Arabidopsis thaliana: one gene and its partner. The protein of the gene in region 2 interacts with the protein of the main gene of each other region in a pairwise test. Each region holds a gene or a part of one and is shown on either strand. Other genes may lie near its edges.

Region 1 (3,755 bases), on a different chromosome or scaffold from region 2:
TCTTGAAAAAACTTGACAGATTCTACTTCGACTTTAGCATGACATACGTTGGAGCAGGAATGATCTGTCCCCATATTGTCAATATATCTTTGCTTTTTGGCGCGGTTCTGTCTTGGGGAATCATGTGGCCACTCATTAAAGGTCTTAAAGGAGATTGGTTCCCATCAACTCTTCCTGAAAACAGCATGAAGAGTCTCAATGGTTACAAGGTTCCATACAAAAAACACTAGTACTCTACAATAAACTCCGCCCTTTCTTTCGCGTACTTTCGTTCTTAATTTGTTCATAACTCTTTAGGTGTTTATATCAATCTCATTGATCCTCGGAGACGGGCTTTACCAATTCATCAAGATACTTTTTAAGACAGGAATAAACATGTACGTCAAGTTAAACAATCGCAACTCTGGGAAATCTAGTAAGTATACACCAAAAAAACTATAGAAAAATCGTCATTTCAATAATGTATTATCTGATGTTCAAACGTAAATCGCAGATTCGGAGAAAGATAAGCAATCTATTGCAGATCTTAAAAGAGATGAGATCTTTGTAAGAGACAGCATTCCATTATGGGTTGCAGCAGTAGGATACGCAGCGTTCTCTGTTGTCTCGATCATCGCGATCCCTATAATGTTCCCCGAGCTGAAATGGTACTTCATAGTCGTAGCTTACATGTTAGCTCCATCGTTAGGTTTCAGTAACGCTTATGGAGCAGGGCTAACAGATATGAACATGGCTTATAACTATGGTAAAGTCGCTCTGTTTATCTTAGCCGCTATGGCAGGGAAACAAAATGGTGTAGTCGCGGGACTTGTCGGATGCGGGTTGATAAAATCGATTGTATCGATTTCTTCTGACCTAATGCACGATTTCAAGACAGGACATTTGACTCTGACTTCACCTAGGTCGATGCTTGTGAGTCAAGCGATCGGTACAGCGATCGGATGCGTTGTGGCGCCTCTAACTTTCTTCTTGTTTTATAAAGCTTTCGATGTCGGGAACCAGGAGGGAGAGTACAAAGCTCCTTACGCTTTGGTATACAGAAACATGGCAATTCTTGGAGTTGAAGGTTTCTCTGCTTTGCCTCAACATTGTTTACAGCTTTGTTACGGGTTTTTCGCATTCGCGGTGGCGGCAAATCTCGTTAGGGATAGGTTACCGGATAAGATAGGGAATTGGGTTCCATTACCGATGGCAATGGCGGTTCCGTTTCTTGTTGGAGGGTACTTTGCTATTGATATGTGTGTGGGAAGTTTGATTGTGTTTGCTTGGAATATGAGAGATCGAGTTAAAGCCGGTTTAATGGTACCGGCGGTTGCTTCCGGTTTGATATGTGGAGATGGTCTATGGATTTTGCCGTCGTCGGTTCTTGCTTTGGCCGGCGTTAGACCTCCTATATGTATGGGCTTCATGCCGAGTAAATATTCGAGTTAAAGATAGCTTTTTACGAGTTTTTACTTTTTTGTGTAGCGACAAAAAAATTAGCTAAAGAATTGTGGAAACAAAAAAAACAGTTTATATAGGAATTGTACTTTGTAAGTTTGTATACACAATAAAGTAATAAACTAGTCTCTCAATTCTATTTAAAAATCCATGTCCCAAGTAACTTCTCCCCAAAAAGAAACTCAATATTTTAGAATAAGGTCAAATGGAATTAAATTCCAGAAGATATTTGCCAAAATAGTGATAAAAATACGGTTAAATTGGTATATGTTTTTACTGACAAAAGGCAAGATTCTTCTATTTTAAGATTTATTTCTTTCTTTGAAATCTGCTAAACGTTGTTAGATCACACTTTATGTGTCTGTTTTTTTTTTTGTCAATTCAGCACACGTCATATTTGTATTTTTCAAAGTACCAAACGTGGACCAAAATAAAATCTCGTCAAAAATGGAAACCAAATTTTAATTTGATTTGCACAAAGCCCAATTTGATTTGTTTAAAGTCAAAGCCCAACTTGACCAAAACTACCCCTGCTCATCCAAACCCTAAGCAAAATATCGAGGGTAGTTTCGTATTTTGTTTATATTGAACACAATTAAGTAGGTGAGGAACCTCTATTTCTTCCGTCTTCTGCTGATTTCTGAGCTTCGGAGCTATCGAAAATTCTGAATCTGAAAGGGTAAAGATCCCATCTTTTTCCAAAAATCGATAAGGGAATTAGTATATTCGTTCATTCATCATCGTTCTGATGATTTCGATTTGAATCTGTATCTAGTACTCTGTATTATCAGAAATTTTGATTAGTAGCTTTGATGTGTTCTTGTTTTGCAGTTTGAGTGAAGATGTCTTCAGATCGGAAGGTTCTAAGTTTTGAAGAAGTTTCAAAGCACAACAAAACTAAGGATTGTTGGCTTATTATTTCCGGCAAGGTTAGATCTTGTCTCTTTGTTTGAGAACATCTCTGTTTTTTGACGAACTTAGTTCTCTTCCGCCATTGATTTGTGTCAAAGCTTCGATTTTAAAGTTGTAGAGTTGGATTGTTACTGTTAGAAGCTTTAATCGAGCCCCTCGTAGATTTAGTTGATTCTATGTTAATTCACACTAGAGAAACAGAGTTTGTGTCTACTACTTGGTTATGATCTGTGATTGTTGCGTTCTTTAGGTGTATGATGTGACTCCATTCATGGATGATCATCCTGGAGGCGATGAAGTCTTGTTGTCCTCAACAGGTATAAAACTTGTGTTTCTCTCTGATTCAAGGCGGATTTGAAGCGGCTCGGTGACTGTTTCTGTTCTGATGTGGTGTTTTGTTTGCAGGGAAAGATGCTACAAATGATTTTGAAGACGTTGGTCACAGCGACACTGCAAGGGACATGATGGACAAATATTTCATTGGTGAGATTGATTCGTCTAGTGTTCCAGCAACTAGGACATACGTTGCACCACAGCAACCAGCCTACAACCAAGACAAGACACCAGAATTCATTATCAAGATTCTTCAGTTCCTTGTTCCGATCTTGATCTTGGGATTGGCTCTTGTCGTCCGTCACTATACCAAGAAAGACTAGAAGAAGCCAAAGGCTTGCTTTGATGCTTGTCATTGAATATCTCTACCGATCTCTGTCTATCTCTCTTGCGAAAAAAAGTACTGTTACTGTTGTTTGGTCTTAGACTGATTCTTGTTGAAATTACGAACCAAAAATCATTGTGTTGCTACTAGTTTTACTGTGTTGAGTTTATGATGACAGTGTTTTCGACTTTGATGATATAATAAAAGACTGCTTGATTTGCCCAAACTTAAGCTGCTTGATAAAGAAGTGAGAAACTGGATTTCTACAATTGAACAAATATGTTTCATACAATTGTGGAAATGACAGTTTCAGACTCATCCGTTACATTTTAACAAGAATATTGCCTTGTCTTTTTCATTAGTACTACAATAAAAGCGATAAGGATAGTAGTATTGTGTTTTCTCTGTGTGATGAGTAAACAAAAAGAAAGAAGAAAGAAAGAGAGGAGTGAAAACGGTAAGAACCAAACCGCAACAAACTTTAAACCTTGAGAAAACGCAGCCAGACGAGTGCAAGGGCTTTTGTGTAGTGGAAACACTTCATTTCTGGCTTTGATCGACTTCTTCATCAAATACTCTGTGATTGAGAAAGAGTTTCAATCTTGTCGTGAAGCGTCACGACAAGATGATGGGCATCATCAAGAAGCTTCCAGACATTAAGCTGACCAGCCATGCTATTACACTCTTCCACAATCTCATCCATACTACTGTATTTCTGTATGATCAGTTTCCTACGTAGTACTAA
Region 2 (6,002 bases):
ACGTGCAAAAGTATCCGAAGTTGAAGATAAGACTAGTGGACGGGAGCAGCATGGCAGCTACGGTGGTTATCAACAATATTCCAAAGGAAGCCACGGAAATTGTCTTTAGAGGAAATCTCACAAAGGTGGCTTCGGCTGTTGTCTTTGCTCTGTGCCAAAAGGGCGTCAAGGTTTGTGAATATATGAGGGAATTGGAATATATATACTCAGCTTCTCATATCAAACAAAAAATAATGTAGTAATGTGTATATATAGGTGGTCGTGTTACGCGAGGAGGAACACAGCAAACTCATCAAATCTGGGGTTGACAAGAATCTGGTACTGTCTACAAGCAATAGTTATTACTCCCCAAAGGTGTGGTTGGTGGGGGATGGAATAGAGAACGAAGAGCAGATGAAAGCAAAAGAAGGAACCCTCTTTGTTCCCTTTTCTCACTTTCCGCCCAACAAACTCCGCAAGGACTGTTTCTACCAGTCCACTCCAGCTATGCGTGTTCCCAAGTCTGCCCAAAACATCGACTCCTGTGAGGTACATCTTTGAATTCTTATAGATATATCTGTAACTTTTATATTATATAAGCTGATAGATGTGTTCATCTATAATGAATGAATGGTTGTTATATATATATAGAACTGGCTGGGGAGGAGGGTGATGAGTGCATGGAAAATAGGAGGTATAGTGCATGCACTTGAGGGTTGGGAGGAGCATGACTGCGGCAACACTTGCAACGTCCTCCGTCTCCACGCCATATGGGAAGCTGCTCTTCGCCATGATTTCCAACCTCTCCCACCATCTCCTCTATGAGCTTTTTTCATATTCATACATCTATGTCCCCTTTCTTGATTATATCTACTTCCCTTCCATCATTGTTTGCTGTTTACTATGTTTTTCTATCGACAATATATAAGTACCCTTGTTACCCTTGGTGCCACGTGCTTCATATATGTTAGAAAGGGCAAAAAAATTCGTCGTATGATATGCTTAGTTAAATTTTATAAAACTCAATAAAAATCTTCAGAAACAGTGCTATGATCATTACATCTTAACTAAGTGATATATATCTGCGTGCCTATTTAACAAAATAAACAAAAAAACAAAACAAAATATATTTGGGTGCATCATCAAATCAAAGTAGTTGCAAAAACTGGACGAGGTTTTTACTTAAATGGTCCTTACCCCGCATGGTCCACTTGCTACCTAATTAAGGATTGGTAGGGTGCGTATACGTATATAAATTGTGGCGGTGGGAGATGGAGTTACTAAAAACGAAACGTACAAGTATTATTCATAGCTCTCGTATAAGGGGTTAGTCCTTAGATCTAGATATTTTCACTTTTCTTTCATTTATGTCGGAGCAACAGACACTAGCTGGCGCTTCAACGTGCATGATCTTGATTGGCTAGTAAATTCCAAGCATCAATACCTAACACATGCCCAACTTGGTTCATTAGTATTCTTTCATTGGTAAAATACCCTTACCTTTCAATAATATCCAGAAATAAATATATGAAGCCATCCATCAACCGGTGCATTTCCTCAAGGCATGGATATGATATCAGAACATCGATGAAGGTGGGAGGGGGTAATTAGCTGAGTGTCATAAATGAGGATCCATGTGGAGATCATCGAATGGTAGTAGTACATGTTTGGTCTTAGCTGGCCCCACCACAAGGAATTGGACTGGTGGGAAGATAGGGGTGGTTACGTCATTCCACATATCTACCAATTAAGGAGTTTAATATAAACCTTGCTATATAATGTACCTTGGCTCACAAGAGTTGAAGAGACACAGTGACGACACAAACATATTACATTCGACGGTATAATGGCCACAAAACCAGGAGTCCTCACCGATTGGCCTTGGACACCCCTCGGAAGTTTCAAGGTGCACTCTGTTTTCTTGTCCTTTAAATTTAAAAAAACGCGTGCTTATGATCGAATCCCGTTACGTTACTGATATATATGTTTTTCTTGACATTGAAACAATACAAAAGTACATCGTAATAGCACCATGGGCTGTCCATAGCACATACAGGTTTGTGACAGATGATCCAGAGAAGAGGGATCTCGGGTACTTCCTTGTGTTCCCATTCTTGCTCTTCAGAATTCTGCACAACCAGGTTTGGATCTCTCTGTCCCGTTACTATACGTCCTCGGGAAAGAGACGCATCGTCGACAAGGGAATCGACTTCAATCAGGTCGACAGGGAGACCAACTGGTGCGCTTTTCTAAATTTTTAACTACCTGCGTGCCTCGTGAGTATATGTAATCAACGTAACTAATGAAATCCTGATATATGCGCAGGGATGACCAAATATTGTTCAACGGAGTGCTGTTCTATATAGGCATCAACCTATTGCCGGAGGCCAAACAACTTCCCTGGTGGAGAACTGACGGAGTGTTGATGGCAGCGCTTATTCACACCGGACCGGTGGAGTTCCTCTATTATTGGCTCCACAAAGCTCTCCACCATCACTTTCTTTATTCCCGCTACCATTCCCACCACCACTCCTCTATCGTCACTGAGCCCATCACTTGTAACTATTGTTTCTTACCTTGATTTTTACGCTGCCTATATTTCCGTTTTTCTTTTTATAATTATTATACGTAAAATATACATCGTTCACGTCCTAACTAGTAGCTTTTATCTGTATATAATGGGATTTGATCAAATGTATGCAGCGGTGATACATCCGTTTGCGGAGCACATAGCATACTTCATCCTCTTCGCGATACCACTACTTACCACGTTGCTAACAAAAACGGCGTCAATAATTTCGTTCGCCGGATACATAATCTACATAGACTTCATGAACAACATGGGACACTGCAACTTCGAGCTAATCCCTAAGCGCCTTTTCCACCTCTTTCCTCCCCTCAAGTTCCTCTGTTACACCCCCTCGTAAGTCCTTAATTAACAACTCCTCTTCTGTTTCATACACTACCAATTTGGCGTAGTAAAAGCATTTACAAGAAACCATTCTTGATGATCTGATACAAATACCTAGTTAGATCATATTAATTAATCCTCTTATGGTCATCATAAAATCTAAGCAAATGATAAATCATACTAATACAGGGGATATATGCTATTATAATAGAATTCCATACACGTACTCCATTCCTGTATAAAATAAAGGTGACGTGATACAGTTGTATGCTTAATATGATCGTCAACTACTGAATCCCTGGACCACAACAGAAAAAAAAACAATTATTTAATATATCTTACATGGTTCAACTTATCGGCACATAATCCAATTTCCCACAACTTTACGCATTGATAGCATCTTTAACCAAACATCCTTTGAGAACTATTTTAAATATCAAATTCATTAGTCGATATGTAGCAGGTGGTCCCTCTAAACGCTCAAGTTATATTAAACCTTCTGGATTCATATTTACTTTTAAATATTTGTGACTTTTTTTCCTTCGGTATTAATTTAGCGCAATGTGAAAGCAAAATTTAATAGTTAAAATACATTAAAGTTTGGATAATAAATGGAGCATGAGAATTGCAGATACCACTCGCTGCACCACACGCAGTTCCGGACCAACTACTCCCTCTTCATGCCCTTGTATGACTACATCTACGGCACAATGGATGAAAGCACGGATACGTTGTACGAGAAAACTCTAGAAAGAGGAGATGATATAGTGGACGTGGTGCACTTAACTCACCTGACGACGCCAGAATCCATATACCATTTGCGCATTGGCTTGGCCTCATTTGCCTCCTACCCCTTCGCTTATAGATGGTTCATGCGCCTTTTGTGGCCTTTCACCTCTCTCTCCATGATATTCACGCTCTTCTACGCCCGCCTCTTTGTCGCTGAGAGAAACTCCTTCAACAAGCTCAACTTGCAGTCTTGGGTGATACCTAGATATAATCTACAGGTCCTCATCATCATCATCATCATCATCATATATATAGGCTGGTTAACTTGCTGATGCATATATATTAATGGTGATATATATATGATGCATGCAGTACTTGTTAAAATGGAGGAAAGAAGCGATCAATAACATGATTGAGAAAGCGATACTGGAGGCAGATAAGAAAGGAGTGAAGGTGCTTAGTCTGGGTCTCATGAACCAAGTAAAGAAACTATCTCTGACTGTTTTGGTTTTATATTGGGTAGATGCCGTACGTACTACGTAGTGTATGTTAAAGCTTTAATTTGATGAACTGAAACAGGGGGAGGAGCTTAACAGGAACGGAGAGGTGTATATCCACAACCATCCAGATATGAAAGTGAGACTGGTCGACGGCAGTAGATTAGCAGCAGCTGTTGTGATCAACAGTGTACCCAAAGCAACTACAAGCGTCGTGATGACAGGCAATCTCACTAAGGTTGCCTACACCATCGCCTCTGCTCTCTGCCAGAGAGGCGTTCAGGTCCTTTGTTTTCCTTTTGCTCCTATGTTGTGATATCAAATTGATGATCTCTAGGAGAAAAATAAAATCCAAGCTTTATCTACATGTATTTATGCTCATGACTCGTAACATTTTCATGTGAATGTCATCCGCAGGTCTCCACTCTGCGCCTAGACGAGTATGAGAAAATAAGATCATGCGTTCCACAAGAATGCAGAGACCATTTGGTCTATTTAACCTCTGAAGCACTCTCATCAAACAAGGTAATTCAGTATACAAAAGAAGCACAATTAATCAAAGAATCAGAAGGAAAATATTCAAAGAGCTTATATAAAGAAAACTAATGAAGGGATTTTGGGTGAAGGTATGGCTGGTGGGAGAAGGAACAACAAGAGAAGAGCAGGAAAAAGCCACAAAAGGGACATTGTTTATACCATTCTCACAGTTCCCCCTCAAGCAGTTACGTAGAGATTGTATCTATCATACCACACCAGCATTGATAGTTCCAAAATCTCTGGTGAATGTCCACTCCTGTGAGGTAAGCATTCAAAGCTACCCAATCCAACTAATTTATTAGAAGAGGTCCTTATTATAAAAAAAACATCTGCAGAACTGGTTACCGAGAAAGGCGATGAGTGCAACTAGAGTGGCCGGCATATTGCACGCCTTAGAAGGATGGGAAATGCATGAGTGTGGCACATCCCTTCTTCTCTCGGATTTGGACCAAGTATGGGAAGCCTGTCTCAGCCACGGCTTCCAGCCTCTCCTCCTTCCACATCATTAAAACTCCAACCTTGGAAGATTTTAGGAGAATGAGAGCGACACGCTCTGTGCTTCTTTTCCTTATGATCCAGCTCTTCCACGCACAAATGAACTATGAAACATATATAAAGCGCACACATATATTTATGCATATCAAGCTTTTGGTGATTATGGTATTGATAGAGTCAAATTAAGCTCGGTGACTATGGTATTAATAAGAGTACTATTTCCTTTTCTCTTTGTGAACTAAGAAACATATATATATAAAGCAAACATGTTCCAGAATATCTAAGTTTTTCTTCTCCCACTCCTAGACTTTATAGTTCTACAAAATTTAAGTAGCATAGAACATAGCATTTGGATCGCTTGATGCTATTACTAGGACAATTCAAATGGTCTCTCATCACTTATAGGAGAAACACCTATCTTATTCAAATCATTTGGTGGTCAATAACCGTTTTGAATACATTGATTGGTGTTAGTTAGTAGTTAGTTCTCATACACAGTGGCTAGAGCCGGGCAAAACGGATACCACCACCGTTTTTTAAATTATTTATTGGTTTTCTTAAATAAACTAACAAATAATTAAATTAGTGATAATGTACTATTTAAAAAATAATTATGTAAATAAAAATATGAAGTTACGAATAAATTCATGAAATTTAAAAATTTAACACTTATCAAAAACAAAACCTAATAGAAATATAAAAATATAATTTTAAAAACAATAAAAACAAGTGTTAAAATTAAAAAAATGTGTAAACCGTATTGAACCTAAGACACCTTTTTGGGGTTTGGATGTTATGTCCAATTAAGTTACACAAAATTTAAAAAATTAACATTTATCAAAAACGAAACTTTA

What was found.
Region 1: the proteins of CER1 (region 2) and CB5-E interact in a two-hybrid assay, tested with the Arabidopsis thaliana proteins (one study listed by BioGRID).

The regions. Positions count from the first base shown.
Region 1 is NC_003076.8:21,757,346-21,761,100, forward strand, and holds CB5-E (cytochrome B5), read left to right. Parts: upstream 1-1,983; 5' UTR 1,984-2,119; intron 2,120-2,271; 5' UTR 2,272-2,282; coding exon 2,283-2,369; intron 2,370-2,602; coding exon 2,603-2,669; intron 2,670-2,757; coding exon 2,758-3,008; 3' UTR 3,009-3,233; downstream 3,234-3,755. Other genes in the region: YSL3 (YELLOW STRIPE like 3), read left to right, coding at 20-209, 298-415, 494-1,431; AT5G53570 (Ypt/Rab-GAP domain of gyp1p superfamily protein), read right to left, coding at 3,579-3,755. UniProt on the Arabidopsis thaliana protein: Membrane bound hemoprotein which function as an electron carrier for several membrane bound oxygenases, including fatty acid desaturases.
Region 2 is NC_003070.9:416,993-422,994, forward strand, and holds CER1 (Fatty acid hydroxylase superfamily), read left to right. Parts: upstream 1-1,755; 5' UTR 1,756-1,825; coding exon 1,826-1,885; exon of another isoform or gene 1,886-1,931; coding exon of another isoform or gene 1,932-1,994; coding exon 1,995-2,218; intron 2,219-2,304; coding exon 2,305-2,537; exon of another isoform or gene 2,538-2,657; coding exon of another isoform or gene 2,658-2,682; coding exon 2,683-2,902; exon of another isoform or gene 2,903-3,501; coding exon of another isoform or gene 3,502-3,521; coding exon 3,522-3,897; intron 3,898-3,991; coding exon 3,992-4,099; intron 4,100-4,198; coding exon 4,199-4,399; intron 4,400-4,533; coding exon 4,534-4,641; intron 4,642-4,727; coding exon 4,728-4,916; intron 4,917-4,988; coding exon 4,989-5,162; 3' UTR 5,163-5,266; downstream 5,267-6,002. Other genes in the region: AT1G02190 (Fatty acid hydroxylase superfamily), read left to right, coding at 1-170, 256-528, 631-804. UniProt on the Arabidopsis thaliana protein: Aldehyde decarbonylase involved in the conversion of aldehydes to alkanes. Core component of a very-long-chain alkane synthesis complex. Involved in epicuticular wax biosynthesis and pollen fertility.